Linked DNA regions of Oreochromis niloticus. The protein of the gene in region 2 purifies or fractionates together with the protein of the main gene of each other region. This does not show direct contact. Links are inferred from orthologs where the notes say so. Each region holds a gene or a part of one and is shown on either strand. Other genes may lie near its edges.

Region 1 (6,868 bases), on a different chromosome or scaffold from region 2:
TAACTTATGTGTATTAAAAATGTATTTCTTGTATAAAAGGAGACATTCAGAACAGCTTTGGTTGAACCATATTGCTAAGTGATCTAGTGAGGCACTGGCTGTTTCCACCCAGCCTGTTTAGCCTCCTTAGAAAGGCACTCGGCCTCACTAACCAGCTGTTTCTTGGTTTGCTCCTTCAGCAGTGCGGCTGACTCCTCCAGAGATAGGAGCTGGGCTGGATTGTGATGGAGAGGGGGGAGTTTGGCAGCAGTGATGTCATCCAGGTGTTTTCTGTCCCGCTCCCTCCTGGCTTGCGCAGACAGTGGCGATGAGCCTTCGGAGGACTGACTGGGTGACGAGGATCCTGATGGAGAGACGTCACTTCTATGAGGCAGCCTGGAAACACATTAAGGTGCATATTATTTACACTCAGCTAACTTACACAGAGGACAAAAAGGCAGAACTATGTCAAACGTCTTACTGAATAAAATCTGGATTATTGGAGCATTTTTGTTGGAAATGTTCAGGAAGTAGTAAATAAAGTCCACTCACTGATTTGGTTTAAATTTTTGCTTCCTGGGAGCTGCAGACTTCTCTGTTTTTTCCAGGACAGTTATATAGTGAGGCTTCTTTGGTGGTTGCTTTCTGAGAAAGTAATTGTCTCTTGCACTGCTGTTTAATGGCTCTTTGGATTCGCTGCTGCCACCAGTAGTAGTTCCAGACACCGTGACCCTTTCCAGGGCCTCCACAAGGTCACCCTCTTTTGTTTCATCAGAGTTCACAGAGGCCCCACGAGCTGCCGTTTCCATGGTTTCCACAGCAGTCGCTCCGGAGACAAACGACTCTCGTTGCTCGTCCAAAGTGTGGTTTTGTTGCACTTGCGCTGAGGCAGGTGAGGTCTCGCTCTCCTGTGCAGCAGCCTCATTTTGCCTGTTTTGATGTGAGGCTGCTGGTGTGATGGAGGCAGCACGCCGGTGAGCAAAAGCCTGCTGGTACTTGGACTGTAACTCTGTCCTCGCAACAGACACTAGGCTTCGTCTCCTCTCCTCCTCACTGTGATCATCAATGGCAAGACGCACTTTATCTGCAAAGTCTTTTATCTTTTTCCCTTTGTCAGGTAGAGTCTGCAATAACCTCCTGCAAACAACACAAACGTATCATTGCAAAAATATTCTACAAACAATATTTCGATACACAACCAGAGCCACACTAAATGTCAGACACATACACGTCTGTAACCCCTCCCTGACCCCAAATAAGAAAAAGTCTTACATGCCATGTTTTCCTCTTAATTGTTGATAATGGCAGTCAAAGCTGATACTAATGCAGTGATGATGATCTAAAGCCAGATTTACCAGCATGTTGCACCAGCACAACTGGGTTTTGGCATTTAAAAAAAGTATTTAAAAAAGAGTTTCTTTGTCAAGGTGTGAAATATAGGGAGTAGAAAATTTAAATAAAGCATAAAATCTGATTTACCAACGCCAGCAACATGTGTTTTACTACAAACTACATATTTAGATCTGAAAAAAAAAATTTTTTTTGCACCTTATTCTGAAATGACTGCACCCGTGTTTAGAAAACAGCCCCACATTTTTATTTTAGTTAAATAAAATGTTTCGGTTTTTTTACATCTAGTTTTAGTTAACTATAACACAAACTTGCTGTGGGGCCATTTGAGTACAGTGAGCTTACTGTCATGTTCAAGAAACCACTTTGAAATGATTTGAGCTCCATGACATGATGTATTATTCTACAAGAAACAGCCATCAGAAGATGGGTCATAAAAGTATGGAAATGGTCACCGACAATACCCTGGTAGGCTACAGAGTTTAAATGATGCTCAACTGGTGCTAAGGTGCCTAAAGTGTGTCATGAAAATGTCCCTAACATTATCATCATTATTGTTTCCACAACTAGCTCCCTTAACTGTTCATACAAAGCAGGATGCATCCAGGCTTTCATGTTTAAGCCAATGTCTGATCGCAGCAGAAACTGAAATTTTACAGACAAGACAGCATGTTTCCAGTCTTTTATTAATAAGCCTGTACTAAGTAAAGTCTCAATTTTCTGTTCTTAGTTAATAAGAGTGTCACCCAGTGTGGTCTTCTGCTGTTGTAGCCTGTCTGCTTGAAGGTTGGACATTTGCGCCTTCAGAGATGTTCTTCTGCATACCTTGGTTGTCAGGAGTAGTTATTTTCCTTCCTATCAGCTCAAAATACACTGGCCATTCTTCTCTGGCAACAATAAGACATTTTCACCCAGTGAACTGTCGCTTACTGGATATTTTATCTTTTTTGGATCATTATCTGTAAACCGAACTTCAGCAGGTGCTGTTGACCATGTCTACAGGCCAAAATGCACCGTGTTGCTGTCACGTGATACCTTGACAACGAGTTTTACAGGTGTACCTAACAAAGTGACCGAGAGTGGTGTGTGTTTGTTTTGTTTTTTACCCCGTGTTACAGCAGAGTAGTGTCGCCTGTGCATCGTTTTTTACAAAAGCATTTCATATTTTCACCTGAGCCAAAGTGGACTGATATAAACACGTTGTCAGTAGATCCTCTGTCTTAGTTTCAGTGCATATTCCTGAACACAGAGAAGTCACTTTATCAAACCGGATCAAAGCTAACGGGATGGCCGTGCGCATAAGTGTCACGTTTCTCTCATACAACCTAAGGATTAAACTTACTTGTTACTGAGTATCCTTTCTTGTCGGAGTAGCAGTTCCTGTAGTTCTTCTTTACTCAGGTGTCCCAGGTCTCCCACCTCTCCCTGGCGCTCTGTCCACGACGAGGACATCACTGTTAGCTAAAGTAAGCTAGCTACAGCCATCCACAACAGCACGAGCCCGCTTTAAACTTCACCGTAAACACGAAGGTTTACGGTAAATCTACCGGTTGATTGATTCCTTTATTATTAGAGAGCTTCAGAAAACTCCTTAAGTGACTAATTCACTTCTTCAACACATGACACAACATTTCAAAGTGGGACCCTTCTTCTTCTTCCTGTGTGAAAAAAATAGCCCTCTATCGCCCCCACTGAACGGGACACGGTAACACACCTCTTCCCTGTAAAGACTGTGAGGCTTATTTGCTGCCCTCTGCCGGTCAAACGTGGTAACCAGCCTGGATGCAAGAGCTTTCTCTCTTAGCAGTGCGATTAGTACAGAGTCTGGACTGGGCTGGTGTCTCAGATTTTCCACAGCTGCATTTCCTGTCCGGATGTTTTCCGATCCACTTCTCACTCAGCTCAACTGACAATGAATGACCCAAACACAGCTGTGTCCTCTCCAGCCTGTGTCAAAGTTCAAAGTCAGTTTTGGTTGCAGCTGTACAGTTGGAACAAAGTCTCTGACTTTACCTTTAGAGTTCAGACTCTAAGTCAAAGTTTAAAGTTTCCCATTTTTCCAGAATGTATTATTCCAAGACCTATTTCTCAAGTATCCCAGATACTGTCAAAAAGAGAAATGCTTCTTTTTTCACGCTTATCCTTATTAATCAGTTGTAATCAAAGTAAGCATTAAGTTTTATTATTTTAGTCCTGCCCTAATCCTCCAAAATGTTTAATTTCTTCTTCATCCCTCAGCTTCTCTCTGTCACCAAAGTCTTGCTGTCCTCATGCAGTTTCACACATATGGATGCACGGACATCTCAGCTGAAAATCAAAGATTTTTTTTTACTTCTTTCAGCCCTTCATAGCACTAACCTGTAAATTATTCTTTTGTTGTAGCTCTTGTTATATCAGCTCCACATTCCTGATCATGACTGGTGTGGGCAAATATCATGGCTCATTTTGATTACTCAATGCACAGCTCATTATGCAGTGAATAACTTGCAGCAACTACAAATTGATAATTTAAAGATATGTGCACATGCAATCATAAAAAGCCCTAGAATTACACTGTAGACACACATTCATGCCATTCATGCATGTTTATATAAAAGTGTGTGACTAAATAAAAGAAATACAAACCGATTTTAAAAGACTCTTTCTTGTAAGTGCAGCCATCTTGTGACACATTCAGGATCATTTGCACAGTCTTTATTATCCAAACAGATGCTGGCCTCTCATCGTTAATCGCAGTATTATATGTATCAACGAGGAAAAGGCACATCATAAAACTATTTCAAACACAGCTGTGGCAGTACAGATGACACCTGGATAACACTTGTGCCAGTGGCTCAGGAACGGCAGTCACCTTATTAAAGTTAATATCGTTAATAACAGATTTCTCAAGAATTTGCCACGTCCTATTTTGCCATATTACCCTGCTTCCAATTAAAATAGCTTTCCTTCCACCACCAGGACCACAGAGTAGGTTGTCACAAAGGCACAAACCATAATAATAAATATTATATTATCAACAGTAACAAAATATCATATGTTTAATTTGTACAGAGCACATATAAAATGATAGGAAAATACACACAATAACCATATCGACCTTCATATAGGACTGAATGCTCATAGCTCAGTGAGCAACATGAATAGAACAGATTCACTGTAAACGGAAGAAATATATTCCATATTATATCAGTTAGAAAAATATTTTTTACATAGCATCACATCATTTACATCCTACAGCAAGCTACTTTTGTTATTATTAGAGCTATGTGCAAACATGGGACAGAAACCCACATAAGACTTTTTTGCTTCACTGGCCAAAAATCATTATCTCCGACATAAATAAGTGAGATATTACTGACATGGATGTGCCAGCTTTAAAATTATGTAAAACAGATTCTTGTGTTAGTACATTTTTAAAGGGATATTTGTGAAAATTAGACCAAAGACAATCGAAGTTTAAGGGGAAAATTCCACACTTTGGTCTAGTTAAGATTAACGGCTCTGATTGCATAAGTAACCCTCTTATATTCACTACATGGACATAAATATTGGGCCATTCTTATTAATACTTGAATTCAGGTGTATAAAGTCAAATACCTGGCCAGGCAGTCTGCATGTACAAAGAATTGGTTGTTCCAAAGAGCACACTTTAATGCTACTGTTGCATGGGTTTACATGGCAGAGCAGCTCCTGTAGGTGTGCTGTGTGTTGTGTCTGTTATCCCAGTGTTCCTGTTGTCCCTGCATTATCATAATAATGTTGGTCCAGGATCAACATTGCAACTGACCAATCACTTTGTGTTTTATTAAATATTTTCTTTATAAAGTTATGCAATGTAATAAATACATTATCAAGTTAGGTTGGCTGTTAGCTAACTGGCATTAACAAGCATTAGCTAGGCATTAGCCAAATTCTAAGCTAATGCTCGGCTAACTAAATGCTCCTTTGTCATTGGTCAGGTGTAATGTTGATGCTGGATCACCATTATTATGATGATATAGGGACATCATCAACACGGGGATATCAAAACGTGAGTAATGTGCAGCTAGGTTGGTAGTTCTGTCCACGTAGTTTATTTACATACTATTATTTCTTGCATAGTGAGTCAGTGGTATTCTTGAAGCACACTAGCTGATGTTTTAATGGCTTACCTGACTTTACGTCACTGCGTTTTCACTTTTAATCCTAAAGTTAATGTTACTCTATGTTATACCAACACAGAGTAATGTTATCATATTACATTATCAAAATTTGTTTTTAAGACTGTTATTTTTTACAATTTGCTGTCAAAAATTTTATGGTAGTATAGTATGCAAACGTTAAGGTCAAGTAAGAGAATAATAAAAGATGTTACTACTGCACTACTCCAACCAGTTTTTTAATACGCTTGTCTCTTTCTCAGCACACATAGACTGAGTTAGAGGATACTATTATTTAGCTTTAGCTACATATTTACTGTTGATATACAGATTAGCTCTGTACTTAGCACTGATACAAAAAAATAGAGGAAAGAGAAAATAAAATCCATCTGTCAACAAGTTTAAAGAAAAGTAATTAAACTGTTAACTCGTGTTGTCATCCACATGGAAACGAAGCCACCATCTGACAGGGAATCTGGATCAAACTAGTTCGTAACTGGGGACAATGACTTCCATGAGTTTCTATTCATTTCCAGGTTTTTTTCCTCTCCCAGTTTGATAAAATGTTGTTTTTACTCTAATTTCCCGTTTTCAGGCTGTTTTTATTGCTTATAAAAAGAAGTTTGTGCGTTACTTGTTTACCCTGTTTTCAGTAATTATACTAAGCTAAATGGCTTCATAGTTTCATTGACTCTCCTTGATTAAGTCTGGGCTCATGTATTTTCCAGGACTGCTCCTTTAACTTTACTCTATGTTTATCTTTGCTGTCATTTCCATTAGTTTCATGAACGGTGTATAAACTCGCACTCCTGATCGTGGTCGAGAAGAAGGTGGGGATGAAGTGGACTCCTCTGGTATGGAGCATGTGCCTCTGCTTGTTTGTGCGTCCAGCTCGTCTCCTCCAGGCTGGACCGGACTGACACCAGCTTCAGACTCAGATGGGTGGATGTAGGAGAATGTCCCACGCTCCTGTGTGGGGTTGGAATCCAGGAAGCGGCTGTACTGGACAGGAGTGTACCTTAGTAAACTTGACTCTAGCCTGCTGGGGGGAGGGTTATTAAGCTTAAACGTCCTTGGCTGAGTGGGCAGTGTTAGGGAGAGCGATGGATGTTGAATGGGAGGTGATGATGAGGGTTGTGCCAGGGATGAGGGCGCTATGGAGGAAGGGTTTGGTCTAAGTGATAGAGGATGAGTGGGTGATAAAGGCTGTGTGGGTGACAGTAGTTCAGTGGGTGATGGGAGTTTCACAGGTGATAGAGGATGATCAGGTGATGGGGGTTGGATGGGATAGAGATGAGTTGGTTCACACTGAACAGGCTCAACATCAAACCTCTGTGCTTCATGTCTGCAGAAGCACAGTCAGAAACCAGAGTGAGAAAACACCTCCTAATCAAGAAAAC
Region 2 (6,157 bases):
AAATAGAAAAATAATATTAATGATGTGTCCCAGCTAGTGAAGGAAAAAGGTAATTTTCTTCCATATCCTGTGTTGTGAGGACCTGTGATGTTCCCATATCTGTGAGCGAACACAGTACAGTGTTTCATGATGACACAAATGGACCAAATATACAGACAGCACTGAATAAAGATGTTCTCAGAGATGCCATTAATATACTGGATAAAACATATATGATTCATTGTCCTATAACTCCTCACTGTGAGTTTTACTGGAACAGTAACTTTATGAATATTAATGAGTCATTGATATGGACTTACAATAAGAAGTATTTAATCACCAACAACGTCGAATAACAAACCAATTTATTAAAACTATAGAAATGATCTGGATGAATCTTGTACTGTAAAACTGTAAAACAGTCAGTGAAACAATTCTACATCTTTTTGAATGATGTATTTCATTTTTTAACACATACACTACATTTAATGTTTTCTTTTTATTTTCATTGTCTGTGAAGGTTCTCAGTCATCCAGGTCATAGTCTAAGGAGCTTGGAAAGAAAGCAGCAAGAAGGACACATATACAAACAAACAGTACACAAGACACAGAACAGAAACATACACAATTTTTACATATTTACATCAACGACAATGGTTACCAAAAACAGAGTACTGTACCGTTATTAAATTAAATAAAATGAAATACAGATAAGAGGCAAACCCTGGTTATAGTGTAAATCGGCTGATAAAATAGTGCAAGTTACAGCGCTGATGTAAACCTCTATGTTTGTTGGGAGCAGTTTTGGTTGTACAGTCTGACAGCTGCAGGGAGGAGGGACCTGCGGAAACACTCCTTCATGCATCGAGGATGCAGCAGTCTGTCAGTGAAGGAGCTCTGCAGTTCAGCAGCATTTACATGCATGGGGTGGGAGACTCTGTGCATCAGAGATGTTATTTTGGCCAGAGTCCTTCTGTCTCCCACCACCTGCACTGAGTCCAGGGTGCATCCCAGAACAGAGTTGGCCTTCCTGATGAGTTTATCCAACCTCTTCCTCTCAGCTGCCGATAAACTGTTGCTCCAACATACAACACTGTAAAAAATGACAGATGCCACCACAGAGTCATAGAAGGTCTTTAAAAGAAGCGCTCCTTGGACTCCCCTGTGGGGCCCCCGTACTGCTGACCAGCGTGTCAGAGACACAGACCTGTGACCTCACATACTGTGGACGTTCTGTGAGGTAGTCCAGTATCCACTGGGACATGTGGTGGTCCACTCCCGAAAGCTCCAGCTTGTCCCTCAGAAGTCGTGGCTGGATGGTGTTGAAAGCACTGGAGAAATCAAAGAACATGATCCTCACAGTGCTTCCAGGCTTCTCCAGGTGAGTCAGAGCTCGGTGAGGGAGGTAGATGATGGCGTCCTCCACCCCGATGCCAGGCTGGTAAGCAAACTGCAGTGGATCCAATGAAGACCTCACCAGGGGGCGCAGATGGTTCAGAACCAACCTCTCGAGGGCCTTCATCAGATGCGATGTCAGGGCTACCGGCCTGTAGCTGCTGAGGTCCTTGGGATGGGAGGTCTTTGGTACCGGTACCACACAAGATGTCTTCCACAGCTGTGGTACTTTCCCCAGTGACAGATTCAGGTTGAACAGATATCCTAGGATGCCACACAGTTCATCTGCGCAGCACCTCAGGAGCCTGGAGCTGATGCCATCTGGACCTGCAGCCTTCCGCACCTTGATCTTGCGAAGCTCGTTCCTCACTTGAAGTGCTGAGATAGAAAGAGTGGATTTTGGGGAGGGGGTGTATGTTGGAGTCCACAGAAGCCGGGGGTGGGTGTAATGACTGGGAGCTGGGAGGTGTGAAGCTGAGAGGTGTGAAGCTCTGAGATGAAGGACAGGCAGTCCCTGAAGATGAGGGAGATTGCAGCAGGGGGGACGATGCTGGGGGAGGGGTGGGTGGTTGATCAAACCTATTAAAATATTTATTTAGGTCAGCGGTCCCCAACCCCCGGGCCTCGGACCGGTACCGGGCCACGAGAGTTGAGGCTCAGGTGTGAAATGTATGGTTTTCAGGGTTTTTATCGGTTTTCAGCGTTATTCTGTTATCGTTTTTATTGTTAACTCGGTTTTCCTGGGTCTTTTCATGTGTGTTATGAATAAATCTTTTTTTCGGTACCGGTACTAGTTTTATTTTGTTGTATTTATCCGTGACACCTTAAAGGCCGGTCCGTGAAAATATTGTCGGGCATAAACCGGTCCGTGGCGCAAAAAAGGTTGGGGACCGCTGATTTAGGTCATTCACCCACCCCAAGTCTCCTGCAGCCTGGGGGGTTGGTTTTTGTCCTGAGATTGTCTTCAGGCTGTTCCAAACCCCTCTGATGTTGTCCTGTTGCAGCTGCTCTTCCATCTTCCTCCTGTAGTTTTCCTTTCCTTGCCTTATCTTCCATTTCAGCTTCTTCTGGACAACTCTCAGCTCCTGTTTGTCTCCAGATCTAAAGACTCTCTTCTTCTCCTTGAGGAGAGCCTTAATTTCAGGATTTATCCATGGCTTGTTTTTTGAAAAACACTGTACCTTTATGATGGGTACGGTGTTGTCCACACAGAAGTTCATGTAATCCGTAATGCAGTCTGTGATGCTGTTGAGGTCATCCTCCAGGGGGCTGCAGAGGTTGTCCCACACAGTAGAACGGAAACAGTCCCTCAGGGCCTCTTCAGTCTCTGCCGACCATTTCCTTACTGTGCGTTTCACAACTGGTTCTCTTTGTACTAGAGGTTTATACGCAGGCTGGAGATGAACCAGGTTGTGATCTGAGCCCCCCAGGGGAGGGAGAGGTGATGAGTTGTATGCCTCCTTGGTGTTGGCATACAATAAGTCCAATGTTTTATTGTCTCTGGTATGGCAGGTAACATACTGGATGAAGGTGGGGAGAGTGGAGGACAGGGAGATGTGATTAAAGTCCCCACAGATCAGGAAAAGGGCCTGAGGGTGCTGTGTTTGGAGTCTGCTGGTTACAGTGTGCAGGACCTCACAGGCTGCTCTTGAATACTGTTAGCTGTTCAATGGGCAGAAGACATGAAACCGTTAAAAGCAGTTATTTGTTCAGACTCAGGCTCGTCATTGGTCAGTTTACAGAGTAGCTGCTCAGAAAGCAGAGCACATGTCCTAGCAGAGATTCAGCAACACTTCACAGAATACACATGACGAGACTTACAGGTGTGTTTTTATGGATTCCAGCTCACTGTGAAGTCAGAGCAAATGAAATGGCAGATAGAGCTGCAAAGGAAGCCACAAAACATGGGGTAGTTGACCTGGGTATTAGCTTCTGTCAGACAGAGGTAAAGAGTATGGTAAGGCAAGAAACAAAAAAAAGATGGCAAAAACAGTGGGAGGAGGAAAAGAGGGGACGGTGGTTGGATAAAATCCAAAGGAGGGTAGGAGAAATGAGGAGCACAGAAAGGAGTAGGAAAGAGGAGGTGGCCATATCGAGAATAAGATTAGAACATACTGGTTTGAACACTACACTAGTCATGATAGGGAAACATAATACAGGGAATTGTGACGACTGTGGAGAAGAGGAAACGATAGAACATGTTATATTAGACTGTCAGAAGTATCAGGTGGAGAGAAGACAACTGACCCAAAACCTCAGCAATATGAAAATGAAACTAGTTCTTATTGATTTTCTGCAAAAGGACTCGAGAAGTGAAAGTTATCAGGCCTTATCCCAGTTTTTAAAAGAGAGTAAATTGCTTGGGAGCATTTGAGGGGTTTGGGGGGTTTTTTGAGCGACGTTCCAGTCCCCACTCCACACCAGTTGGAGGCGGTAATGCACCATTCAGTTGTTTGCCAACCGCCAATAAACCCTATACAGAAGAAGAAGAAGAAGAAGCAGCCGCAGCAGCAGTGAACAGGTAAGATGAACGCGCCTCCCGCTTTCGAGTCGTTCCTGCTGTTCGAAGGGGAGAAAAAGATCAGCATCAGCAAGGACACCAAAGTCCCGAACGCCTGCCTGTTCACCCTGAACAAGGAGGACCACACGCTGGGCAACATCATCCGAGCGTAAGGCCCCGAGACACGGCCGCAAAGGCATCACACCGCTACATCCAGGCTAACAACAGGCTAACCTCAGGCTAACAACAGCCCGCTAAAGTCATCCGAGCGTAAGGGTCCCAGACCCGGCTTCACAGCTGGCTAAGTTGAGGCTAACAGCCACACAAATGCTGAGCAGCGGCTCAGAGATAGATGCTAACACGCAGCCTGCAGGTGTTTCAATCTTACAGGTAGCGTAGGAGGTGTTTTACAGAAAACCAGAACATAGTCTTGGAATATTTGATCTCTACTTGCTTTTTGTTTTTTAATAAATCATGACATGCTGCTGATGGGAAACAGGTCTTAGTGTAAGCCACCACAGGTGGCTGTCCCAGTGCCTGATCATAAAATCAGCAAAGTTAATGAACTGATCCTCAAATATTCTTCCGTCAGACTGTCATGTGAGCTGCACACACACCATTCACACTAAACTGCTCATCCTTACAGTCTGTCCACCAATCAAATGACTTTCTCTGTGTGTGTGTGTGGTCAGTCAGCTGCTGAAGGACCCTCAGGTTCTGTTTGCTGGTTATAAAGTTCCTCATCCTCTGGAGCACAAGATCGTCATCAGAGTGCAGACCACACCTGACTACAGCCCACAGGTAACACGCACACACCTGTGGGATATTCCAGGAAGTATGTTCATCAGACTCTGAGTTTCCTGTTCCAGAAGGGTGATCAGTTAGTTCATTCAGCTCTGAGTGTGTTCCCACTGAGTTATGTGCATGCGTACCTATTACAGACGTCTCAGCTTCTACAGGATCAGGATATTTCAGGATAGTTTTGGAAGAATGACACATTTTAAATCAGGAATAGAGATCAGAGCAGAGCTGCAAACGGATCCAGACGGGATCAGCTGGGAAATGACCGAGCAGACCTGGATCTGGGATTGAGCCGATCTGAATCCGTGATCGAAAATCCATTTTGGATCCGTCCTGCCGTGCAAGTGGACTCGGTTTGCTGATCCGTCATGGAGCCCATGTTCTGGCTGATCTGGTTCTGGGTCGACCCGCAGAGGCTGATTCAGGTGATGTTCAGTGGAAAATCTGCCCAGGCTGTTTGACTTTAAATGACCGAACCTCAATCTGATTACATTTCAATGTGAAATGTAATCAGATTACAATCAGACTGTCTGCAGTGACTTTAAACACATTTAGTTCAGCTTTAGTTTTAAAGCCATCTCAGCCTGAACGTCACTCAAATAAGATCCATTTATCCATCAGAGTGATTGATTATAATAAGAGTGTTACCATGGTAACTGACCTTCTGGAACAGAAAACCCAAGTTTCCCTCATCTCAGGGTTAAACTAAACCTGTTTCCTGGAACACACTTCTGATTACAGCTCTTAGTTACAGGAAGTGAAATTAAATGACAGGAAATGATGTTGTTCCTGACAGGAAGCGTTCACGAACGCTATCACTGACCTGATCAGCGAGCTGTCACTGCTGGAGGAACGCTTCAGAGTCGCCATCAAAGACAAACAGGAAGGCATAGAGTGACCCCGCCCCATCGTGATGTCACTTCCAGTTACCTGTCCTCTGTTTGTCTTCTGTTTTTTTTAAATAAAGCCTGTGATGCCATATCCTGATGAGTGTGTGTGACATACCTGTAGCTCAGGCGGTGGCTGCTTGCAGCTGATTGAAGTTTAAAGTGCTGGTCAACATTTTCCTGTGTTTGTTTTAACAGATCATTAGACAGAACTTAGCACAAATTATTTGTTTGCAAACAATAATAGAGAGAAGAAATACTCTGATCATTATCACCCTTACAAAAACAGCTTTTTCTTCATCTACATCACAAACCTGCTGTGCAGTGACCTGATTACCTCAAAGCTTAAAGCTCCGGTTCAGTTTTTTTCATATATAAGTATATTTAGTTAGGAAAATGAAGAAAGGTTAATTGTATTTCGGTAAGTGCAAGTACTGTGTTGTTTTCTTTTTATTAATAAAAATATTTGCCAAAAAAAAAAAGCTCCTGTTCATACTGAGTTTACCAGTTTATAATTTATATTTGCGTTCCAGTTATGAAAATGATTCATTAAATATGTTTTCATAGAAAAAGTCCAACTCTTCCCACTTGGGTTT
Region 3 (7,863 bases), on a different chromosome or scaffold from region 2:
AGAAAGAGGATGACAAAGCCTTTTTGAAAATGTGTAAGCACACATTTCTCAGATTCTTCTTTGTGTGTTATAAGGTGTCATAATGACATAAGCAGCACGCACATGCAAAGCAATAAATCCTCAAACTTCGCTGACCTCTAACACTTTGCAGCTTTGCATTTCTCTCTTTCTCAAAGTCGAAAGCTCTTTTATTTTTGGCTGCTTTAGGCACCATAAGTGGGTAACCAAGGTAACTAATGGCTGCTTAAACTAAGAGCATGTACAAAGCATGAGTGCCAACCCGCCTCATGTATAACTCACTGGTGCCACATGCAGTGATGGCACATGGTCTAGACTCCTGTCTCCATGAACACACAGGATCAAATCACTCTCTATAAAGAAGCGATGTCAGGCAACGAGTGCAGAGTGCAGACAGCCCTCTCCCCCAATCCATCTGCACAAAATTGATCCAACCTTCAATTTGAAACGCTAAAAGCGATTTATGATTTAACGGTTCAAACAATGAAATATGAGGCATGTGACTTTTAGAAACACTTAAAGGGCTAACACAAATGAACCATGACGTCTGGTCAGTATGGATGCTTTATGACTACTTCAGAAGAAAGAACTCTTGTTTTGCACTCAACATCTAACAGAAGCATGCAAATAAAGATGTAGATACATTAATTAAGTGATAACAATGAAAATCTGTCGAGTTCACTGTCAAGACATGGCATTTGTTTTTTATGCGTACTCTCTAGACCTTTTAGTGGTCCACACAAACTGAACCCATCCATCCACACACTTTCTTAACCGCTAATCCAATTCAGGGTTGTGTCAGGGCTGGCACGTATCCCAGCTATCGCTGGATGGGGTACATCCCGGACAGGTCCCCAGTCCCTGACACAGAGATAGACAATCACTCACACTATATAGCCAGTTTAACCTAACGTGTAGGTCTTTGGACTGTGGGAGGATGCTGGAGTACCCGGAGAGAGCCCACACGAGCACAGAGAGAACATGCAAACTGCACACTGAAAGGCTCCAGCTGGCCGTCAGGTTGGAACCAGGAGCCCTTTTGCTGTGAGGCGACAGTGCCACCCCCAAACTGAAATCTTGTGGTGTCAGTTCTCGATATAAGTGTAGGAAATGTTGGATACTGTTAGTCACTCAACATTAGAGCAATGTATTACACATTCCACTGGTCTTTAACCAACAAACTCCCCAGTGCAAAGCCCGTGTGATGTTGGCATGTGTGAATAAGGCAGGCCAGCACATCTGAAGCAGACTGAGACTGTGAGAAAGGATAACTGTGGAAATTATCCCCACTAGATTCTCCCAAAACTGCCAGAACTTCATGTGTGAAAGCAGCTTATTTTATTTATTTAATTCACCGAAGCATATTCTAATTTACTGGGAGTTAAACAGACATTACCAGCTCTTCTTTTGCAGTTAATACCAAAAGCAGCACTGGTACCTGTACATTGAGAGGGACAAAGGACACAAGGCTGTAATCTTGTACGACCTCTGCCAACTTTTCATTTAGGTGGCGGAATTTTTTAAAGAAGGGGTCTGCAGCCAAGTGATCGAGAAGATAGGTCAGGTCCATGACCTCTGTGTAGAAGTCAAGGTTGAAGGCTGGAAAAGAATACAAGACAAATGTTACCAAGGATGATGATGAATAGCAACCAGTTGTGAAATTCAACAAATCAGCTGGCAAACAATGCCGGTATAGTTTTTTTTCTTTCATCCTACTTTCTTACAAGGGAAACAAAGAAATGTGATTTGTAAAAACACCTTTAATGTCTTAATCTCACTGTCTTAGAACATTTATCCAGCACAAATCAGATAATCTCTGACTACAGCCTGTAAAATGTGTTTAAAGCAAACCCTTATTAACTCACCCAGCTTGCCATACTGCTCCATCAAGTCCATCTTGGAGAGAACATTGACATGGGGAAGCTCGACATGCAGCATTGTAGACAGCGAGGTGCACAGCACCGAAATGAACTTGGCTGGATCAGCACAGTAATGAGAGTCCACGAGGTGCACCGCTGTGAGCTAAAAGAGAGGACATCCGCACAAAATTTATCTTATGATGTTATTATGAATTCACCTTGTTGTATTAAAGCTGTGTCTACATGATGGCTGTGTGGGTAAGGTAGTACCTGTGAAGGCTCAGCAGAAATACGATAATAATGATGAAGCTCACCCTGAAATTCCACTTGGCCAGCTGTGAGAAGATATTCTTCACTGAGCTCTGGTGGGTGTAGAGCTCCACCTGTCCAGGACAGTCAAACAAGAAGTAACAGTCACTGTACTGTTTCAGCTTCTCCTCCAACCAGTCCAGATTTGCTTCCACGTACTCCATGCAGTAGAGAAGTCCACCATTGGGCCCCAGCTTTAAACCTTCCATGACATCGTCCAAAGTCACCAGCTCTGAGACATCTACCGCACATGAATAAGGTATCCCTTCATTGGCTGGATCCATGTTTACAACCACCACCTTGCGTCCCAGGTGAGTCAGAAACTCTTGCATCCCTTGGCAGTAGGTGGTTTTCCCCGAACCCGGGGGCCCAATAACCACCTGACCGAAACGCAGGGAGGGCTTCACTTGTGTCTGCTTGGACATGGCTTCAGACTCGCATTAGATGGTGCTAGGATGTCCTGTGCAGAGTACCAAATGGGGTGTTGGCTGGCAGGGTCACAGGATTTGGTATCAAGAGTTCAGTTTTTCTTCCACCAACTACATTAAAAACTCATTAAACACTAAATAAACCTGGACCTGCCATCCACTCCGGTCAGACAAGACTTGTACAAAGTAGCTATTTAAAGGTTTATGTACGATAAATCGTAAGTCTACTCAAAACATATGTGCAGTTGCTTAATATAATGCTGACTTTTACTGTAAATTACAGCAATACTGACTGATATTTACCGTTTGCTGACGCTATATTTACATGCGTATAGAAGTCGCTAACACATGCTAACGCTACTCGGAAGTACATCCGAGTTACGTAACTGGCGTGTCAAAATAAAAGCCGGTTGTTAACATGGCGTGACGTGCAGGACTAATTTCAGACTACATTTTTTTCTAAATCATCTCATCCTTGCTCACACACCACATTATTCCGTGATTAATAGCTTGGTACAATTTATACACATGTATATAAGTTAATATAGGAAAACTAGACTTTGTGTGAGATTAAAAATTAGAGACACTAATCACATGAAAAAAAGGATTTTAACATATACATATATATATCTATAGATACAGATATAGGTGTGTGTTTAAAAAAAAAAAAAAAGACTTCCATGACGTTAAAATGGTTTCAATAAAATTTTATTAAAGTCATCTTTGTGATCTTTGTGGGCCAATGCTGCCACCTGGTTGCCACCCTCTGTACTTCATACTTGTGTTCGGCTGCCGTCTCAGCAAGGTATCGCCTCTGTCTATGTCTTTGGGTTTATCATACACTGTAGTTATATGATAATCTGTTCTGGCCTTTTTTACAGGATGTAAGACCAATTTCTCTCCATGATACCTGCAAAAAAGAAAAGGAAAAACCCCCCACAGCATCAGCATCACCTGCCTCACATACCAAAGCTTAAAATTATATTAGAAGGTGGCTGTTAAGCATCCACACTGGAAGCAAAGTGAGTGACATCCTGCAGTTTCAAGTGACTAAGGCCGAAATAACTGCTGGCGATGGGAAGCGGGTTGGATGTAAACTTATGTTAACTTCTTTTAACTTCCTCCATAGGATCGAAACAACTACCAATGAGAGTGAAGAATAGCAGTATTGATTGACACTTGAGCCTGGAACAAGCGACCTGCCGTCAGCTGCAGAGCAAAGTCGAAAAGGGAATTGTTTCCAGCGTAGACGCAGCTTTAGTTGATTGTGCTCATGCTCACCCAAAGCCTCTTTTACAGTTGGGATGTTGCCCCTCATTTTCAAGTGCTTCAGAAATTCCAATCTGGCTGTTTCCCAGGCCTTCACCTTCCCTCCAGCCCTGTTTCTCCATCACACGACGCCCAAAGCCCTAATCAGAGAAAAAATATATGTGCATTTATCTGACGTGTAACAAGAGGAAAGATTAGATTAAGTTATATGTGATGGCAACCTCCTCACCTTAGTGAACCTCTCAAAGCGGCCAATAGACTGATTGTGCCCCGATCCATCTTCATGACCCTCCCTAAGCCTCTTTTCATACCGCATTGTGACGTAATCTCGAGCATCCATGTCACCTCCATCTGTAAAAGGACTTGGTTAAAGGAAATCTGACCCTGCATTAATAGAGCACAGTTTAGTTAATTAGGGTAAAAAAAAAAAAAAAAAAGTTACCTTTATCATAGTAAACACTCATGTCAACATCCCAGTCATCGGCAGTTTGTTCATCAAAGTCTGAAAAACGAGAGAAACACACATGAATGTAATCACACAGTCGCTTTTGTTTTGTTAGCTATTTGTTCATGATGTAAATCTCTGGTTACACCACATCCCTCTATTGAATTGAGATCTGGTGACTGCCATTTGAGTACAATGAACTCATTGTCATGTTCAAGAAACCAGTTTATGATGATCTCAGTGTTTTCACATGGCTTGTATTCTGCTGGAAATGGGTACACTGTGGTCAAAAAGATGGATCTACATGGTGAGTAGCAACACAAAAGTAGACTGTGACATTTAAATGATGGTCAGTTGGTACGAAGAATCCCAAAGTGTGCTAAGAAAATATTCCACACCCCAGCAACCTGAACCGTTGACACAAGGCAGGATGAATCCATGCTTTCATGTTGGTTACTCCCAATTCTGATGTTCCAATGTTTCCAAAGTTTTTTTCCAGTCTTCTTTTGCCCAGAGTTGTTGAACTTTTGTGAACATCAGTTTCCTGTTCTTAGCAGACAGGAGTGGCACTCAGTGTGGACATCTGCTGCTGCAGCCCATCTGCTTCAAGGTTTAACATGTTCAGAGATGCTGTTCTGCCCCCCCTTTTTGTAACAAGTGATTATTTAAACTACTGTTGTCTGGTTGTTCTCCTCTGACACCAAATGAGGCATTTTCACCCACAATTTGCTGCTCACTTTATATTTTCTTGTTTTTGGACCGTTTTCTGTAAACCCGACAGATGGTTGTGTGCGAAAAACACCGGAAGATCAGCAGTTTCTGAAATACTCAGGCCAACCTGTCTGATAGCAACAACTATGTTTCAAGTTACTTAAACGATCTTTCTTCCCTATTCTGATGCTTGGTTTAAGCTTCAGCAGGTCGTCCTGACCACGTTCGCATGCCTAAACTCATTCAGTTGCTGGCATGTGATTGGCTGATGGAATTTTTGAATTAGCAAGCTACTGAAGAGGTGTATCTAACAAAGCGGCCAGTGAGTATATTTGCAATTATCTTTTAATGTATGTTATTGTAAGGCAGAATTTTGTTTTCAGCATCTCGACTGAATTGATTTCTTATACTAATTAACACATACACACACTTTCAGTTTGCCTTTCCACACCTATTTTACCTAAAGTTTGCTTAATAACCTGCACACCCCATTGCTCGTTTATTAACATTATATAGTATGCAAGCCTTTTTCTTCAAAGTGAATTAGTGTTTTTGGTGCCTACCTCCTTCTTCCTCTTGCCAGTACTGAGCATCAGTGTAGAACACCAGACCTGAGCCTCCTTTTTCCCACTTCAGCTCAATCTCTTCTTCAAACAGTCTCTCTTTGGTTCGCTCCTGGCTTGTTACATCCTCATGCAAAGCCTCGTGGCGTTCCCACTCCTCACAGCAGTCATCATCCTACAATCAATCACATGAAGAAATTAGCATCTACAATAAAGGGATGATGGTTTTAGTTAGGCTGCGCCTATTGGACAGCCGACACAAACTAAAACCAATACATTTATCCGACACGCTGACAGACAGCTGGTTGATAGGTATGAACTGAACCTACATCATCAGCATTCGACTGTGCATCCTCTTCCTCTGCGTCTTCTTTCTGTGCTTCATCAGCCTCAGTGGTTTCTGTGTTATCATCCAGCTGCCTCGATCCTAAGGATGAACCAGGCAAAGTACCTGGTCCTGATATTTCATGTCCAGCAGCTGTTAATACAGTCTGTTCTGTGGCTGGAAGTGTGCAAGTGTCATGGTACTGGAAGGGCACGTTCCCATAGCGACGGTTGGAACTCGTCTTGGGGAAAGTGAGCCCCAGTTTCCGAATGAGGCGTGGAGGCAGGCGGCAGGCTTGGATGAGCTGGAGAAACACTTTTACGGGTGTGCCCACATTCCCGTTCTGCATCAGAGCAGGTGGATTAAGTTCGGAGAGGCTTCTGAGGTCGGCCTCTGTGAATCGCTCCGTTAAGGAAACACGGTGCCGCTGTTCATACTTTGTTTTATAGGGGAAAGATCCGTCATCTGAAAGAAAGAAAAAATAATAATACATGTAAAAACAGTGACAAAAACCACATGATGTGAAAAGTTCATGCATCTCTTACTTCTAGGCTGGGTCATTGTAATTCCTTACTGTCAGGTTCTCCTAAAAACTTCCCATAAAGCCTTCAGTGAAAACCAAAACAAAACAAAACGCTGCAACGAGAGTGCAGACAGGGACCACAAAGAGAGATCATATTTTTCCCCATACTGGCTTCTCTTCACTGGCTTCTTGTTAAAACCAGAACTGAATTTTAAATCCTTTTCCTCACATACAAAGCCGCCATCTTATCTTAAAGACCTTAAAGTTTAATATCATCCCAGTAGCACTCTTAGCAGGCTTATGATTTGTGGAGTTTCCAAAAGTAGAATGGGAGTCAGAGCCTTTAGCTGTCAGATCCTCCCCAGTGGATCCAGGAGACAGACACCTCTTCTACGTTGAAAGTTAGGATTTAAACTTTCCTTATTGATAAAGCTTATAGTTAACAAGATAGTCATAATTGTTTTTTGCTACAGGCTCAAGGTGCTGGGCTGAGGCTTCTCATGATGCACTGAGCATATAGTCTCCATTTCCCATCTTTTCACTCCCCATATGTTTAATATGCCACTACTGCATGATCTTAACCTTTTTTTAGTCCTGCTTGTTGTCTATATGCTCCAGCCTGAGCCTGATTCAGCTGGAGGTCTCTTCCAAATAAAATCAAGTTATTTCAGACACCAGTATAGGAGACCCGTGTGCCGTAACGCTATTGCCTAAGAGAGGCCTAAGTTCAAATCTGCCCCAAGGCCATTTACTGTGTGTCTTGCCCATGCTCTTTGTCCCAGCTTCCCTGTCTTCTCTCCACTAAATTTGGAATCTCTCTCCAACACTGTGGGGTGACTATAACTCAAGAGGTAGAGCAGGTCATCTACTAATCAGAAGCTTGGTGGTTTGATCCCTGGCATGCAGACTGGAGAAGTGTTACAATATTGAGTTGTATTTTGAGCAGCTTCGGCAACTAACCAAGTTTCTCTCATCCATCAGAGTGTCAGTGTTAGACAGAAAGCAATTTAAAAAGTGCTTCTATGAATGGGTGAAGGAGACGAGCTGTATGAAGCACAGTGAGTGTTCAAGTAAAAGAAAAACGTTATAGTATATAAGACCCAGCCAATTTAACATTTTAATGTCTGTCTTCTTCTTTCAGCTGCTCTCCTTAGGGGGTCACCACAGCTCATCTCAGTCCTGTCCTTTGCATCTTCTTCAAGGGATAGGAGATGGAGGCAGATGTTATTCTACTGCCTCTACCTTACAGTTAACAGCAAAATATACCTTCACCCATGTCAGCTTCACTGCTACAAGGACAGATCCAGGAAGTCATCCTGGTCGTAATACGTTTTAATAATCCTCCACATCTGTTAAAATTCAGTTTTGCTTTGTTGACTTAAAAGCATTTCCCCAAATATAAGATAAATAAAT
Region 4 (8,004 bases), on a different chromosome or scaffold from region 2:
CAGCTGCTGGTGACCTTCGTGTGTCAGCAACTCACACTTCAGCCTGAACGTAGAAGTTACAGCCAAGATCAACGTCTGTCTTCAGCTGCTGAGAGCCCGCCTCCTGCAGGAACACAAAGAAGCGTGTGACTTTCATTCACTCGTGGAACAGGCGGCCCAAGCTCAGAGAAAAAAATACTCCATCTCAGTGTCTACAGGCCTCAGACAGCATGTTAGAGGTTAACGTTCATGACATGACAGTTAGAAAAGAGACTGAATGAGTTTGGCTTGTTTGGCGGGGTTTCCACAGAAAAATATATCAGTGAATATGTAAGAAGCTCGGAAAGAAAAGTGACTGAAGACGTTTCATCCGGAAAGATTCTTCAGTTCTAAGACCAAATGTTGGACAGTTCAAAGTATTAAATCACATGAGCCAAGGTGTGTGATGGGGCACATGATTAATAGTCGGGTCAACGACCCTCTTATGGGACAACTCCCACTAGGACTTAAAGACCTGGGACTCTTCACCGTTTAGTTTTAGAACTGAAGAAGCTTCTTGGATGAAACGTCTTCAAGAAACTTAAAGAAGTCGAGTCGCTTTTCTTTCCAAGCTCCTTAGATTACCATGACCTGGATGACTGAAAACCTACACAGACATCAATGATTATGAGAGTGATTTAAAAAAATATCTGAAAACTAAAATAAAAACGTCCATCCTCTAAATAAAATAAAAACAAATAAAAAATTATTTTTTTAAATATCTGAAAAGTGGAGGTAAAATGTCTGAATGTTTTGATTTTCCAGCTGTAGTTTCAGGCTCTTTGATCCAGACGATGGAGGTTTGGGTTCACAGCTCTCGGCCTAATGAGCCACATGTATTGATCTGCTGGATAAACAGCTGCAGTGAGGCTCAGCTGTATTGATGGAGGTCCGATAAGCTCCACCATCTTTCCTCACAGAAGAGTGTGCTGAATTACAGAAACAGCTCACACAGAGAAGCTACAGAGAGAGATGTCTGTATTGGCAGAGCTCAGTCTGCAGCTCATTAACCAGCAGACAGAAGCATTTAACATTAACAGAGAATGACAGCCAGCACAAACACTACAACGATCTCCAGTTTGATGTGGAAATCTCTTCTTTTCTAAACTGAAAAACCTACAGATCTTCAAAATAACACAGTACATTTTGTGTGCGTTTACCTGCAGACTCTGTATGGTGTTCTTCAGCTGCAGGTACTGAGAGATCTTCTCATAAACCTGATCCCTCTGCTCCACCACCTTCCTGCCAAACGACAGCCGTCACTTGATTTACAGAGAACATTAACGCCTTCAGATGCACCAAAATAATTCAAACAGCCTAAACACGCCAAGAAAATCTGATTCAAAGCACCAAACAGCATTTCAGACACCTGAACTCTTTAGTCTGTGTCACTGAACACTCAGATGCCAACCTGAAGAACCACATAAATACCTGTAAGATTAGATCTACCCTTCTTATCCATCACACATGTGTACTTATAATAGATTCAAGCTCATTATTGTATCCTTTCTATATAACTGAGCTCCTTCTTAGGTGTAGTTTTTAGATTTTTGCACCATTTTGTTCTGTAACTGTACAAAGTAATTTCTGTATTTCTTTTCTTACACCCTAATAAAATTGTCAGTGTTCACATTAAACACAACCAGTCGGGTCTGTGCATGTACAAGTAACCCATGTGAACCAAAGGCTAACGCCTTAGATTGCTCTAAATACTTTTTCAAGTCTTGAATCTGTATGATGTCATTGAGAGGAGATATCCCTATTATAGCCCACCCACCCGCTGTCTGGGGAGCTAAACCAGTCATGTCATAGGCAAAAAAGAATTATTTTGAACTATGAATCATGCAAAGCTACTCTAGTGTCATAGTGTTCAAGAAAAACAATATAAAGCTGTAAATTAACAAAACTGATCCACTTTAAATAAGATGGTCTGAGGCTGCTTCTAATGGAGCTGTGAAGGAGCTTGTTGACCCAATTGCCAAGTGTACTCCACAGTTTTCCTAAACAGCTTGTGTCCCTGGATGTGCTTCGCACTCTGTTAGCTCATGCTGAGCTCTGCTCTGCAGTACTGGCTGCAGAATGTGAAGCAGTAAGAGGTTTCCTCTTAGTGTGGTCAAAACGCTCCAGTTCTGTCTGGTTTGTTGCCCCAGTTGTTGCAGTGCTGGCACAGCAGTGACATGTATAACAATCCCACTGTATTAAAAACACATTGCACGCAAAGGCTGTCTTGACAACGTCTACATGCCTAAATGAATTGAGTTGCTGCTACATGAATCGCTGATAAGATATTTGGGTTGAGCAGGTATTCCTAAAAAAGCAACTTGTGAGTGTAAATATTTAATAATCAGTCTGCAAGTAATTAAGGCACGGAGGGGGACCAAAATGACACCAGCACTATTATACAATCAGCAGCTGTGAGACTTGACCTTTATTAGGCTGTTAATTAAGCTTTAAATGACTTTAATTTGTAGTCACTCCTCATTGACCTTCATATCGCCTCTACTACCTGTTCAAAGTCTGCCTGGATAAAAATCTGAGTTCATAAACTCATATCTACACAAGTATTTTGCACTACTTTAACTACAGATTACATTTCTTTTACTTTAGTTTTTAAAGTTCTGTAACTGAATAAAGCTCTCTGTAAGGACATAATAAACTGTGTTCAGACATCAGCTGTAGTGTCTTCTTACTGTAAGTCTCTCTTCAGGACTTCGTTGATGAAGGTTTCATACTGCAGGACCTTCTGGTCCACGTTAGGTCTAGCTGTGGCATTGTCGGGAGCAGACATTTCTTCACTGTCTTCTCTTTAAAAGAAGCTACAAATAACAGAAAAAACATTCGGTTGAGCTGCGGATAAAGTCCAGCTGCGAACTGCCCGATCTCTCTGTCGTAAACTTTAATGTTTCTGCACACCAAACTCTCCGGCTAGCATGCCTAAGACAGGACGTAAACACGCCACTCTACACCGGATGAGAAGAAAGTGTGAACAAGTACTTCCGGGTTTCAAAATGAACCCAAAGAATAGATTTAGTGAAAACAGAAAAGACGAAACGACAGCAACGCTGCAAAAGCTTGTCAATTAATGATAGCATAAACTCGGAAACTCTAAAAAAAATTTCTTACTTTATTTTTTAATATAGTAGAATAGAAGGCCTTTTTCGTTATGTAGAATACCAGTACGGAGTGAATTATTTTTATTCTTTATCCTGCTGCTGTAAAACAAACATTTCCCAATTGGATTCAGAAAAGTCTGTCTGTCGGTCAGGGAAATTTGAAGCATTTTCCTGAGCAGATTATAAATTTTAGACACATCAAGTACATCTCTATGCAGTTCAAAAGACTTGCTTTATAAACCAAAAAATAAACTAAATTGCTTTTTAATCATTAATCGAATCAAATGTTCAAGTCAAATTGTTAAGTTTGTACGTTAAAAAATGAAACAGCAAACAAGAACAAAAAAAGAATCAAAAATAAAATAAAACAAAATAAAACGTTGATTCTGGTTAATGCTTTCTACCTGCTCTGGCTCTATGGAGGTCCTGTCTCATGACGTCACTGTAAACAAACATGGCAGACCACGGGCGGCTCTGTAGCTAGCTACTGTAACACGAAACAATTATTAAAACGTCCTGAATGAAAATGCGTATTAAAAAAATTAAATATCGTCGTTTTTGTAGTTTCTTTCTTAACAAGCGTGCGTGTCAAGCCGGCAGCAGAAGTTAAACAGTAACAGGTTTTAAAATTTTAGCTGGGTTATCTGAGTTAAGACGTTGCCAAGGCAACGTTAGCCAACAGCTAGCTGTCTCGCTTCCCGTGGTCAGGATTTATTTTCTGAGAGACTTTTCTTTACAGCTGTTTGTTGTTGCATATGTAATATAAGCCGAATTTAAGTTAACGGTTTAAAGTTTTACTGGGCTTAAAATAATAGTTTAATAACTGTATCTTATTGAGCAATCGTGCGCAGCATCGTGAACGGCTTAATTTTTGAGTGAAGTTCGAGGTTTGCGTTCCTCTCTCTGGTTTGCTGTTCCAAGGAGCTGATTTGTATATCATTGGGGGTTTACTTCAAACCACACACTCTTTGAATTAACAAAAACATCAGTGAGAGTTGTGACCAGATTAAATCCAGATTAACTGAAGCTGTTTTAAACGCTCATGAAAACATGGAGCAGTATAACATTCTGGGTCGGACAGGAGAAGGAGCTCATGGCATAGTCTTCAAGGCCAAACATATTGAGGTGACGGACTGGTGCTTTTATGTCTGCATCTTACTTCATTTCTTTTTTTTTTCTTTTTTTCTTTTTTTTGTAATCCGATCAGCATTAAATTTGGGGTCTAACCTCAGCGGCTTAGATATGTGACATGGAAATGTTCTTGTGTGTCAGACAGGGGAGACGGTGGCTCTGAAGAAAGTGGCTCTGAGGAGGCTGGAAGACGGCATTCCGAACCAGGCTCTAAGGGAGATTAAAGCACTGCAGGAGATCAAGGACAACGAGCATGTGAGTGAATGTGCAGACAGTTTTTACAGATAAGAGTCATTTTAATCTTAAAATTTGATTAGTGTTTAGCAGCACGGTGGTGCGGTGGGTAGCACTGCTGCCTCACAGCAAGAAGGTCCTGAGTATGAGTTCGACTCCCTTCTGTGTGGAGTTTGCGTGTTCTCCCTGGGTTCTCTCCGGGTACACTGGCTTCCTCCCACAGTCCAGAGACATGCAGTTAGTGGGGTTAGGTTAATTGGTTATTCTAAATTGCCCATAGGTGTGAATGTGAGTACAAATAGTTGTATGTCTCTATGTGTTAGCCCTGCAACAGACTGCCCACCTGTCCAGGGTGTACCCTGCCTCTTGCCCTATGGTAGCTGGGATATGCTCCAGCTCCCCTGGTGGCTGGGGGGATGTCACAAACAAAATATAACAGAAACCAAAAATTAGTACATGGAAAACATAGACGATCAAAGCAGAGCAGCAAGAAAAGAGCCAAGCATAACAGACATGTTAATAAAAAGGAGATTAGGCTATATGAGAAAATTATAAGAAGCTGCAGAGTGTCTGGAGTCTGAAGGGATGCAGGACTTCTTTCTGTGACTTTCTCCTCAGGTGGTGAAGCTGAAGGACGTCTTTCCTCACGGCACGGGCTTCGTCCTGGTGTTCGACTTCATGCTGTCTGACCTCTCTGAGGTCATAAGGAATTCCCAGCGCCCTCTGACCCCTGCGCAGGTCAAAAGTTACATGATGATGTTGCTGAAGGGCGTGGCCTTCCTGCATCACAACAATGTCATGCACCGGGTGAGCGCAGCTAACAGTTATTATCATTAATGAGTCATCTGACTGTTTTCTCAGTGAATCCTGTGTTTGTAACAAGCAACACTTAAGCATACAAGGTTATTTAAATACTGTTGGTTATTCATAATAAATGAAAAGCTGAAAATATGGGAAATGCTAAAAAACTGAATAGTTGCTGCAGTCTGAGGTGTTGCAGGAGGAGGTGAGAAGGTGGTGTTCGGGTTTCTTTTCTTTAACAAAATAAATCAAACCAATTATAAAATGACGTTTGTGTGTTTGCAGGACCTGAAACCAGCAAACCTGCTCATCAGCTCCTCAGGCCACCTGAAGATTGCAGACTTTGGTCTGGCCCGGCTGTTCAGCGAGCAGGGAGAGAGGCTGTACAGCCACCAGGTGGCCACCAGGTAAATAGGATAAGATGAGATTAAATAAGAAATACTTTATTTAGCAGGTAGCTTTAGCTAATCAAAATAAAATACAGTATGACTTACCAAAAGAACTCAGTGAGGTAAAAAACACGAAGAGCAAAATGCTCATTTAAATAGAAAAATGACAGTAAAATGAAAGATCTCAAGTGAAAATTTAAATGCAATATAATGAACCTAAAAGTAAGTACTTTTGTATATAAAATGCAGTAATGCAGTATCTGAATGGCTGAATGTAATACAGAAAATGGCTCTATAAAGTAAGCACAAGCACAGCATTAGCTTTAGTGCTGCTGGGAAAAATCCATGTGGTGACATGGAAAATGCAGTCAGTTGATACTTTAAATATTCACTCAGACTTGCTTTAAAGCTCAACTGGTGAACAAATGTGTCACAGAACAGATTCACATATTCAGATTTGAGGTGCTCATTACACCAGTAAATAATAATCATGTTAAAGTCGCCATGTCATGTGACTTGTTGGTTCAGTTCATTCTAAAATAATCACCACTTTCAACTGGATATTACTGATACTTTATCAGTAATGTGCAGTAAATGCACTGAGCTACATTTGACCACTGTGTGTGTTTAGATGGTACAGAGCCCCTGAGCTGCTGTACGGAGCCCGAAAGTACGACGAGGGAGTCGACCTGTGGTGAGTACAACCCTGAAAACGCTGCTAAAAGTAGCGCCCACACTATTATTTTTTTGCTGTTGTTCGATCATTATAGCTTACATTACATTATATACATTTACGTTACATAGTACTTGTTTAACCTGGCATTCGAGGCTAATTAGTGTGATTTTCATCTGGCTCTGCATTTATATTATGTCATTATTTTATATCTGTAATTTATATTTTATATTGTGATTTTATCTGTATCATGGTTTTACTGGAAAGCACTTTGGTCTTTAAATGTGCTGTACAAATAAATTTGATTTGATTATCTACTGTGAATCCTCTGCTGATTAGCTTTTACTCAATAAACCTAGATGCTTTTGTTTCTGTTGTGCCTGCTTGTATTCTTTTCCTGTATCAGCATATTTTATTATATATTACTCTTTAACATACTATGTAACATGGGACCATATAATAAGAAAGAGTAAGCTTGTAGCTTCAGTACACGCTAACTCTGTTAGTGTTCACAGTTCCTGCTCAGGTGTAAATTGGTCCAGTGATCAGAGATGAACAGCAGGGGGCAGCAGCAGTCTGAAGTCATGGCTTACTGTTTAGTCCGTGTGTGCGCTTGTGTGTGTGTTTCAGGGCGGTCGGCTGTATTTTTGGGGAGCTGTTGAACTCGTCTCCTCTGTTTCCTGGAGAGAACGACATCGAGCAGCTCTGCTGTGTCCTCAGAGTGCTGGGAACCCCGACTCAGGACAGCTGGCCTGTAAGATACACACTGGTTTTTCCATCACTTCAGGGGACGTTACATTAATATACATTCATTTTCTTCTCGATCTTTTTTTGTATTAGGTTAAGTATTAAGCTTTATATCAAAGTATCATCTCACACATTCTGTCTTTTATATAAAAGACATATCGTGAAAATGTAAACACAATGAGGATGTAAAATAAACTGGAACACTGCCTAATTTCCACATGTATTCACTCAGTGTATTCACACTGTGGTAGTGTTTACTCTTTCATCTTTGGACATAGTGCATATAAATGTCCGCCCACATCCACGTTCATTAACTTTAAATGTGCTAAAAAGACGCAATGTGTTATTTTTTAAAATAATGTTTTTCAGTGCATAGTCAACATCATAATCATCATCAGTATATTATTATATGTGATAGGCCTGCAATCATCTGCCTGAAATATTGGTTGGCCTCCGTTTAGCTTTATTTAAAATGTTTAAATGTTTTTAGACTAGCAGTAAATGATGATGAATATGTAGAGAAATTAAATCGGACCTAAAACTGATCCTTGTGGCACTCCAAACCAAACTGATAAAAGAAACTGTGTGTGTTTACTCTAAAAACCTACAACTGTTTGAAGTCTGGCGACATCTTTGTGGTCTGTGTGAGATTTTATCTGAAGGCTAAGGTAAAATAATTCACTCTGCGAAGTTTAATTTTGTCTTGTTTTTTTCTTCTATGGCTGTGAAACTGGTTAAAACATTTTAATCCCTCTCCTGTCTGTCTCCAGGAGATAGTGGAGTTGCCAGATTACAATAAAATCACCTTTAAGGAGAATCCAGCAATCCCATTGGAGGAAATCGTCCCTGACATGCCCCCTCAGGCAGTGGACCTGCTCTATAAGTTCCTGGTGTATCC

The links.
Region 1: the proteins of polr2j (region 2) and polr2m purify together in Homo sapiens (affinity purification with mass spectrometry; 3 studies listed by BioGRID and IntAct, counting the BioPlex papers as one, with this or other methods). This does not show direct contact. The link is inferred for Oreochromis niloticus from reciprocal best matches to the Homo sapiens genes POLR2J and POLR2M.
Region 3: the proteins of polr2j (region 2) and gpn2 purify together in Homo sapiens (affinity purification with mass spectrometry; 3 studies listed by BioGRID and IntAct, counting the BioPlex papers as one, with this or other methods). This does not show direct contact. The link is inferred for Oreochromis niloticus from reciprocal best matches to the Homo sapiens genes POLR2J and GPN2.
Region 4: the proteins of polr2j (region 2) and uxt purify together in Homo sapiens (affinity purification with mass spectrometry; 3 studies listed by BioGRID and IntAct, with this or other methods). This does not show direct contact. The link is inferred for Oreochromis niloticus from reciprocal best matches to the Homo sapiens genes POLR2J and UXT.

What each region holds. Positions count from the first base shown.
Region 1 is NC_031965.2:22,183,095-22,189,962, forward strand, and holds the start of polr2m (protein GRINL1A), read right to left. Parts: upstream 3,006-6,868; 5' UTR 2,782-3,005; coding exon 2,672-2,781; intron 1,117-2,671; coding exon 532-1,116; intron 376-531; coding exon 153-375; intron 1-152. Other genes in the region: myzap (myocardial zonula adherens protein), read right to left, coding at 6,213-6,813.
Region 2 is NC_031970.2:1,173,927-1,180,083, forward strand, and holds polr2j (DNA-directed RNA polymerase II subunit RPB11-a), read left to right. Parts: upstream 1-3,843; 5' UTR 3,844-3,899; coding exon 3,900-4,042; intron 4,043-4,565; coding exon 4,566-4,674; intron 4,675-5,470; coding exon 5,471-5,572; 3' UTR 5,573-5,655; downstream 5,656-6,157. UniProt on the Homo sapiens protein: Core component of RNA polymerase II (Pol II), a DNA-dependent RNA polymerase which synthesizes mRNA precursors and many functional non-coding RNAs using the four ribonucleoside triphosphates as substrates.
Region 3 is NC_031976.2:7,480,795-7,488,657, forward strand, and holds the start of gpn2 (GPN-loop GTPase 2), read right to left. Parts: upstream 3,020-7,863; 5' UTR 2,918-3,019; exon of another isoform or gene 2,647-2,917; 5' UTR 2,612-2,646; coding exon 2,192-2,611; intron 2,041-2,191; coding exon 1,884-2,040; intron 1,618-1,883; coding exon 1,457-1,617; intron 1-1,456. Other genes in the region: gpatch3 (G patch domain-containing protein 3), read right to left, coding at 3,332-3,524, 3,896-4,023, 4,113-4,234, 4,326-4,385, 5,603-5,777, 5,932-6,392. UniProt on the Homo sapiens protein: Small GTPase required for proper localization of RNA polymerase II and III (RNAPII and RNAPIII). May act at an RNAP assembly step prior to nuclear import.
Region 4 is NC_031984.2:4,340,665-4,348,668, reverse strand, and holds the start of uxt (protein UXT), read right to left. Parts: upstream 3,011-8,004; 5' UTR 2,807-3,010; coding exon 2,709-2,806; intron 1,261-2,708; coding exon 1,179-1,260; intron 104-1,178; coding exon 36-103; intron 1-35. Other genes in the region: cdk20 (cyclin-dependent kinase 20), read left to right, coding at 4,182-4,256, 4,404-4,517, 5,115-5,303, 5,583-5,704, 6,318-6,380, 6,990-7,113, 7,877-8,004. UniProt on the Homo sapiens protein: Involved in gene transcription regulation. Acts in concert with the corepressor URI1 to regulate androgen receptor AR-mediated transcription. Together with URI1, associates with chromatin to the NKX3-1 promoter region.